Linked DNA regions of Mus musculus. The protein of the gene in region 2 purifies or fractionates together with the protein of the main gene of each other region. This does not show direct contact. Links are inferred from orthologs where the notes say so. Each region holds a gene or a part of one and is shown on either strand. Other genes may lie near its edges.

Region 1 (3,958 bases), on a different chromosome or scaffold from region 2:
TGTAGTACCCAGGTCCTGGATACCAGAGCCAATCGAGCAATTGAAAGTCTCACCAGCCGTTCGTGTAGAGGAAACGCTTTCAAAATATATCATTCATCTTCATCTTCGATAGCAGTTTATCCATATATCCTTTATAAGCATCATTAAGTATTGGTGCTTAAGATCTCTGTCACGAGGTAAGCTTTCAAATTTATAGGTACATGCGCTCGTGGAGGGGCAAAGGGACCTTTTCTTCTATTTATTTTTTCTTTTATTAGAACAAAAGGCAGCTTGAGTACACTTCAAAGTCTGGGAGTTGCTGTTTGACAGGCAGGCTGCCTTTGAGAAAGCCGTTCAGTGCATTAAATTAACCGACTCCTGGCCAAATCAAATTCAAGGGGAAAAGTATTTCCCATGCCTAGAGTGACAAACGGAATTACGAGGCACGCTTAAGCAGACTGTCAAACTTTTATGTTTACTTAAAAAAAAAAAAACTCCACACAGATGGAAAAGTCTGGTCCGTGGCAGCCTTGTGTGCCAGGAGAGGCTCACCTGTACACACACCACAGGCACGGGTCTTTCCCGGGCTGTCCGCACTGGGGGAGGGGATGGGTGGACATCGCTAGACCTTTGTCCCGGGGGCCTGGGGAGGGACGACTTTCTGGAGGCTTCGCAGCCACCTGCACTCTGGGAAGCCACACACAGTGTGGCCCTCCGGGGTCGTCCTGGGGCGAGCTTTGTGGGTGGGTGGGAGCATGGGCGTTCCCACCTCGGGGGCGGCGGGTGGCCCCACGCTCTGGCTGGGATGGGGTGAGCCACCGCTCCGTGGATTCAGAGTGGGAACCCCGACTAGATCAGCTCTGGGACAGGCCCAGGGTGAAGCGGCCCCGCCGCGTCCGCACCGCCACCGTGAGGCCGTGCCGGGGACGGTGCCCCGTGGAGGTGGCGCTGCCGCTTCGCGCTCATCTCCCCGCCCGTCTCCCCGCCGCCGCTGCCGCCGCGCCGGGCTGGGCTCGGGCGGGGGCATCCGCTCCGGTCTCCCCGCGCTTTCGCGCTCCCGCTTCGCGTGCGGCGGCTCGATCCGGGGAGGGAGTGAGGGAAGGGGTGGAGGTGGCGGGGGGAGGCCGAGGGGCGGATCCTGCCTGGGGGCTGATCCCTCCCTCCCCTCGGCCGGGCTCCGTGGCGGGCGGCAGCGGTGGTGGCGGCGGTGGCTCCATTCCCCCTCCTCCCCCGGGAGAGGCGGCCGGGCCCGGGGAGACGGAGCGGAGGGCCGGAGCGGGAGGAGGCCGCGCTCCCTCAGCCGGGCCGCGCACGGAGCTGCTCGCTCGCCCGGCCCGCTCGCCCGGCCGCTCACCCGGCCGGCCGCGCTCGCGCTCAGGGGGCCCCCGAAGCTAGGGGCCCGGCCGGCGGCTGAGGTAAAATGGGGGCGGCGGCGGCGGGGCCGGAGCGAGCGGGGGCGGCGGGGGCCGGCGGGGAGCGAGCGCTGCGCGCGAGGGGGCGGCCGGGGCGCACAGGGGTGTCCCGATGGGGCGTGGGGGTGACGCGCGACCTCTCCCCCGGAGCGAGGGCGGCGACGAGGCCGGGAAAAGCGCGCGGAAGGGAGCTGCAAAGCGAGGACCCCCTCCCGCACCCGCCATCTTGTTTCTCCCCGGTCCTGGCAGCCAAACGGCTAAGCCCCGCCCTCCCCGTGCTCCCCTATTGGCCTGGCTAGACCAGAGTCCCGCCTTCAGGGGCCGCCCTCGGCGCACGGGTTCCCCCTTGACGGGCAGGTTGGGCGGCCAATAAGTGCTTGCATCTCCGCGTCCTCCCCCCCCCTCCCCACCCCTCCGCCGTTCGCTGGCGCTCGCTTTCTCTGTGAGGGTCGGACTCTGCGTCTATCTGTGGTGCGCCTACCCTCTGGGTTGTTTTTTTTAGGGGGAGATATTTCTCTTTTTTCTCCTTCGGGGGGTGTCGTGAAGATTCCACTGGAAGAGGAGTCCCTTTAAAGGGACAGAGACCTTGTCTGGAGTCTTACCTGGTCTCATGAGTCCCTTGTGTGGCGTGCAGGGCGGGTTCCGTCCAATTGTTGAAACTCCTCATTCGGGGGCCAGGGTGAGGTGGTCGAGTTGGGGATCCCGGGTCGCTAAGAACGTCTCTGAAGGGGGCTGTTGGGGGTACTCGGCAGTGTGTGTATGGGAAGAGTTGTGTACGTGAGGAAACTCCCGCCAAAAAAAAAATACCAACCCTGGTCTAGTTGTTAGCTCCTTGTAGGCGAAACTCTTGGTTTCCCCTGGCAGTAGCCCAGCTGGGTCCCATGGGTTTGCCCCCTGTGATCGCATCGCGGGAGCCCCGAATGGGGATGGAGACGACTTCTGAGACTACAGGATGGGGTTCTTGTAGATTCTTCAAAATCGATACTGAAGTGTGTGTTTCCTCTCCAGAGGCTGCTTGCCTTTGGAGAATTGGGGAATGGAATCTGTTGGCTGGGACTACTTTTGAGACCTTGAGGTTGGTACGGGATCTCGTGCCCTCAGGGCTTCGGGTTGAACAGAAGTGCGGTAAAGGTCCTTTAGCTCCAAATGGTGGTGTATGCCTGCCTCAGGTTGCTCCACAGCCAGGTTAACTTAAGTCACACCTTGGGACTGAGAGGCCTTTACACTGTGGTTGTCAATGGTGACTTATTGATCATCCTTAAGAAGTAGATATTTCTGCCCTTGCTTTTATTACATTTTTATTTTTTTTAAATTTTATGTGCCTGGGCATGTTGCCTGATATATGCCGGGTTCCCCAAGAATTCAGAAGAGGGCTTCCAATACCCTGGAACTGGAGTTACTGGAGTTGTGATCCACAGTGTGGGTGCTAGGCATCCTCTTAAATGCTGTTATTTTTCCAGCATGCATATATATATATAATTATTATTATTAAACAATATGTGTATTGGTGTTTTGCCTAGGAATTGAACCTGGGTCCTCTGGAAGAACAGCCAGTGCTCTCAACTGTGCTGAGCCATCTCTCCTATGAACATTTTACATTTTTAGAGGGTCTCGCTATGTGCGTTGCTAGTCTGAAATACTATATAGATCTGCTTGGCCTCAAATTCCACAGAGAAGGCAGTACTTAAGAATAGCGCCTCTGCCTCCAGAGTACTGGGCTGGAAAGTGTGCTAGTACACCCCACCCCACACTGTTTTATTGATGCACTGTGGAGGCAGAGAAATTCAAAGCTTTGTCCAGGTTACACAGGAGCAGGATTAGAACCTAGGTTGGTGCAGAACATCCTCTCTCTAGAGCTCTCCGAGACTCTTGGTGTTTGTAGCCTCTCAGCTTGCTAGGAGATCTGGATTCACACATTTTTCTGAGCTTCTGTTTTCTCGTGGCTGAAATGGAGATGATGTCTGCACAGTCTCTTGAGGTAGTTGTGAGAAAGATTAAAAAGAAAAGGCCATTGTAGTTTGTTAAAGTATGCTGAGTATAGCCATCCTATCTTAGGTCTTCCTGGTGAGGATGGCCTTGGTAACTGCCTGCAGCTGCTCCTTAGGGGCAGAGAATGCTGGGGGAAGCACCCTGGGTAGATTAGATACAAGTATCAAGGGAGAGAGATTTCTGTGGTAATTGTAGGTGGAGAATTCGCCTCAGATAACCCCCCAATCAACTTGTCCTTGAGTTCAATGAAGACCTTAGACAGACTACTTAAAATTTAAAAGATTTCTTAGAGGCATTCCCAGCTTGCAAGGTTTGTGGTTGGAAATGCCCCAAGTAGTATTGCAGTTATCTTAAGTACTGCCTTCTGCCGGAAGTACCTAGCATATTATATTATTTATAGTCTGAAGCATTTCAGATGTCTTTACTTTGGACAGGGCCAAGAGATAGGGCTTCTAGCCATGAGATGTCTCTGGAGATGTTTTAGATCTGTGATTTTGTTTATTTATTTATTTATTTATTTATTTAGATAACAGGTTCTCACTCTGTATCCCTGCCTGGCCTGGAATTCACTCACTGAA
Region 2 (3,500 bases):
AATCTGAGTGTAGCCCTGGAACTCGCCTTGTAGACCAGGTTGGCCTCAAACTCAGTGATCCACCCACCTGTCTGCTGAGCTGCTAGGACTAAAGGCGTGTGTGCCTTACCCCCAGTGGGAAAAGAGTTCTTTACCAATATTAGCGACATGCCTGTTTCTTCCCTTGCTATATATAGCCCATCATAATACAGATGTCCTAAAACTATATTTGGGAGGAGGTTGCTTGTTCTTTGACTACCCTTGTACTCATACGGAGTTACCGACGGTGGGGTGAGCCGCCATGTGGGTGCTGGGAGTCAAACCCAGGTTCTCTGCAAAAACAACTAAGTGCTCTTAACTACTGAGCCATCTCTCCAGCCCCTTAAGTTCTTCCCATAGAGAACCCTCTTCTAAAGCTTTCAGAGACCTTTCACATCTCTAGTCTGATGCCTCTTAAAGGAAATAAAATAAAAGCTAAAACTGAAGAGTATTTTAAATGACAACCTATGACAATGTCTAAGTTGAAATTGTCAAACTGTCAGGAGAGGTAAGTTGGTATGCAGGCAGGGTCCAAAGACTATATAGTTTTAGGGTATCTTTATATCTTTTCACAAGTCTGTCTATACTTCACACTAGGAAACCCTGTGACTGATGCTCCCAAAGATCGTGTAGCTTTGTGGCCATGAAATAAAATAACTACAGAGACCCCCCCCCCAGCTCTGTTTTGAATATCCATCACCTTTAGGGCATAGCTAACTGCAGTGTCTAAGAACCATTATGACTCTTTGTATATATGATTCCTTCTGCCCCAAAATATTTTGCTCATCTTCAATATGCAAAGTCCTACTGGACTCCTCCAGACTGTTCTAGGAGACCTTCTCACAGAATGTGGTTGCTCCACCCCTGGGCTTCCAAAGGTTTTGTTTTTGTTTTTTTGTTTTTTCAAGAGGGTTTCTCTGTGTAGCCCTGGCTGTCCTTGAACTCAAAAATCCGCCTGCCTCTGGAATTAAAGGCGTGCGCCACCATGCCCGGCTGACCAAAGGATTTGTTAACAAATCATTTTATTTATTTGTATGTGTACAGACATGTATACATACATATACATACATACATATATATATATACATACATACATACATACATAAAACACGCACACACAGTTACTTTTTTGGTTATTTTTTGTTGAAAGCCAGAGTCTCAGTATCTCTGGCTAGCCTCGAACACTCTATATAGACGGGGCTGGCCTTGAATTCAGAGATCTGCGGGCCTCTGCTTCCAAAGTGCTGGGACTAAAGGTGTGCAACACCACACCCGACGCCATATTATAATTTCCCATTTACTCTATTGTTGCAGACTGATAACCACCTTTGTATATTAGCTGAAAAACCTTTCTTCCATGCTGAATAAAACTAGGAGGGGAAAAGCCTACTTCTACATAAGCCCAAGTGACTAAATACATTAGAGAGCCTTCCAAGTACTTCTAACCACAAGCCTTTTGTTTATTTCACTACCAAAGCAACATTCTGAATATTTATTCAAAGTTATTCTATCAAATGTGACTCTATATTCTAGAATTAAAAGTACCTTTAGAAGCATTAAATCTCACTGACACACTCAATAAGCAATTTAACTCTTAAGCCATTTTATAGTGATGAGATAACATTCCCATTTTATCGTTTTACGATGACCTATAACGAACGCCATACAGTCTTCAAGACACCTGCATCTCACATTTATATAAGCCACTGCCTATAAAAGAACATCTGACAGAAACCACTTTGAAGACCGAGTATTTCAGCAGCTGCCTTACACTTTGACCATTCTACCACCTATACCAATGGTTTTCAACCTGTGGGTCTCAACCCCTTTGTAGGTAGGGTATTAAATGATCCTTTCACAGGGGCCAAATGTCAGGTATCCTGCGTATCAGATATTTACAGTATGATGCATAACCTTAGTAAAGCTATGGTTATGAAGTAACAACGATTATTTAATGGGGGGCTGGAGAGACAGCTGCTCTTCCAGAGGTCTCAGCACCCACATGGTGGCTCATAACCATCGATAATGAGATCTAGCGCCCTCTTCTGGCCTGCAGGCACACACACAGACAGGTGCTGTACGCACAATAAATCTTTAAAAAATAATAATTTAAAGGAGGGGGGTCACGAAAACATGAAGAATTGTACTAAAGGGTCGCAGTGTTAGGAGGGCTGAGAACCACTGCTCTCCATCAAGCTCAGGAGCAGTATCCCTATGAACCAGCACAACAGAATGACACCACTGTCCACTGTGAAGAAGTCAGGGGAAAGGAAAACATGTTTACCTTGGGAACTCTGGCTTAGCCTGGCTGAGGAGCGGGTGACTCGGGCAGATCGGCGCGAGGTGCCATCACTCTCTGAACTGTCTGTATGCTCGAGATCTGTAGAAAAATCGGAATCTTCGGTTCCATCTGAACTACTGCCTGCATTTCTCTGCAATACCATAGATCCAGACATTAGCACAAAAGCATTTACTACAGTTTTCTATTAGCACTGGAAGTAAAATGAACCATGATGCTGAAGTACCAAGTTCCAACATAAGGAAGGACTCCACCACCAGCCAGCCTTTCCCCTCCCTGCTGTGCAGAGGCGCTGCCCTTCCTTTCAGACATGCTAGTGGAATGACCTACAACCAAACCACCTGTACTCAGCAGACCGAGAAGAGAAGTAATTCTTCGTGTATTATCACTAATTCTGAAACAATCTGGACTGAATCACTAGAAATTGGAAATAAAAGCACCCAACCCAACAACAAAACACCCAAATCAAAATGGTCTGGCTAGTCAAGAAAAAAATAAAAAGGACAAACGAAAGAAAAAGCACAGTCCAGTGGCTGACAGCACAGGCCGCTCCGGCAAAGGACCCTAGTTCATTTGCCAGCACTTGCCCACTTGGTAGTTCACAACTGAAGTCTGTAACTCCCGCTCCAGAGGGAGCCAAATACCTCCAGCCTCCGCAGGCACCTGTTCTCACACATCCCTACACACATCCAGATAATTAAAATAGTACAACTAAACCTTAAAAAAAAAAAAGGAAAAGAAAAAGTCCAAGATGGCATATAAAATGTTATTGCTAGGCCTCACTGAACTTTGGGGTAAATTTTATTCAAATTCTCCATCAACAAAAATTATATTATATATTATAATATAATAAAAATTATATTAGCTGGGCATGGTGGTGTATGCCATTAATCCTAGGAGTAAGAAGATCTCTGTGAGTCCAGGGCAGCCTGGTCTACATAACAGAGTTCCAGGACAGCCAGAGCTACAGAGAAACCCTGACCGGGGTCATTTCAAAGTATGTTCTTGGGGCTGGAGAGATGGTTTGGTGGTTAAGAGCATTTGCTGCTCTTCCAGAGGACCTGGGTTCAATTCCCAACATCCATGGCAGCTTACAACTACCTGGAGCTCCAGTTCTAGGAGCTCTTTTTTTTTTTTTTAAGATTTATTTATTATTATATGTAAGTACACTGTAGCTGTCTTC

Evidence for each region. The genes of interacting proteins can lie anywhere in the genome.
Region 1: the proteins of Kat7 (region 2) and Brpf3 purify together in Homo sapiens (affinity purification with mass spectrometry; 3 studies listed by BioGRID and IntAct, counting the BioPlex papers as one, with this or other methods). This does not show direct contact. The link is inferred for Mus musculus from reciprocal best matches to the Homo sapiens genes KAT7 and BRPF3.

The regions. Positions count from the first base shown.
Region 1 is NC_000083.6:28,799,968-28,803,925, forward strand, and holds the start of Brpf3 (bromodomain and PHD finger-containing protein 3), read left to right. Parts: upstream 1-1,158; 5' UTR 1,159-1,394; intron 1,395-1,633; exon of another isoform or gene 1,634-1,862; intron 1,863-2,090; exon of another isoform or gene 2,091-2,466; intron 2,467-2,923; exon of another isoform or gene 2,924-3,363; intron 3,364-3,906; exon of another isoform or gene 3,907-3,958. UniProt on the Homo sapiens protein: Scaffold subunit of various histone acetyltransferase (HAT) complexes, such as the MOZ/MORF and HBO1 complexes, which have a histone H3 acetyltransferase activity.
Region 2 is NC_000077.6:95,303,747-95,307,246, forward strand, and holds part of Kat7 (histone acetyltransferase KAT7), read right to left. Parts: intron 2,451-3,500; coding exon 2,303-2,450; intron 1-2,302. UniProt on the Homo sapiens protein: Catalytic subunit of histone acetyltransferase HBO1 complexes, which specifically mediate acetylation of histone H3 at 'Lys-14' (H3K14ac), thereby regulating various processes, such as gene transcription, protein ubiquitination, immune regulation, stem cell pluripotent and self-renewal maintenance and embryonic development.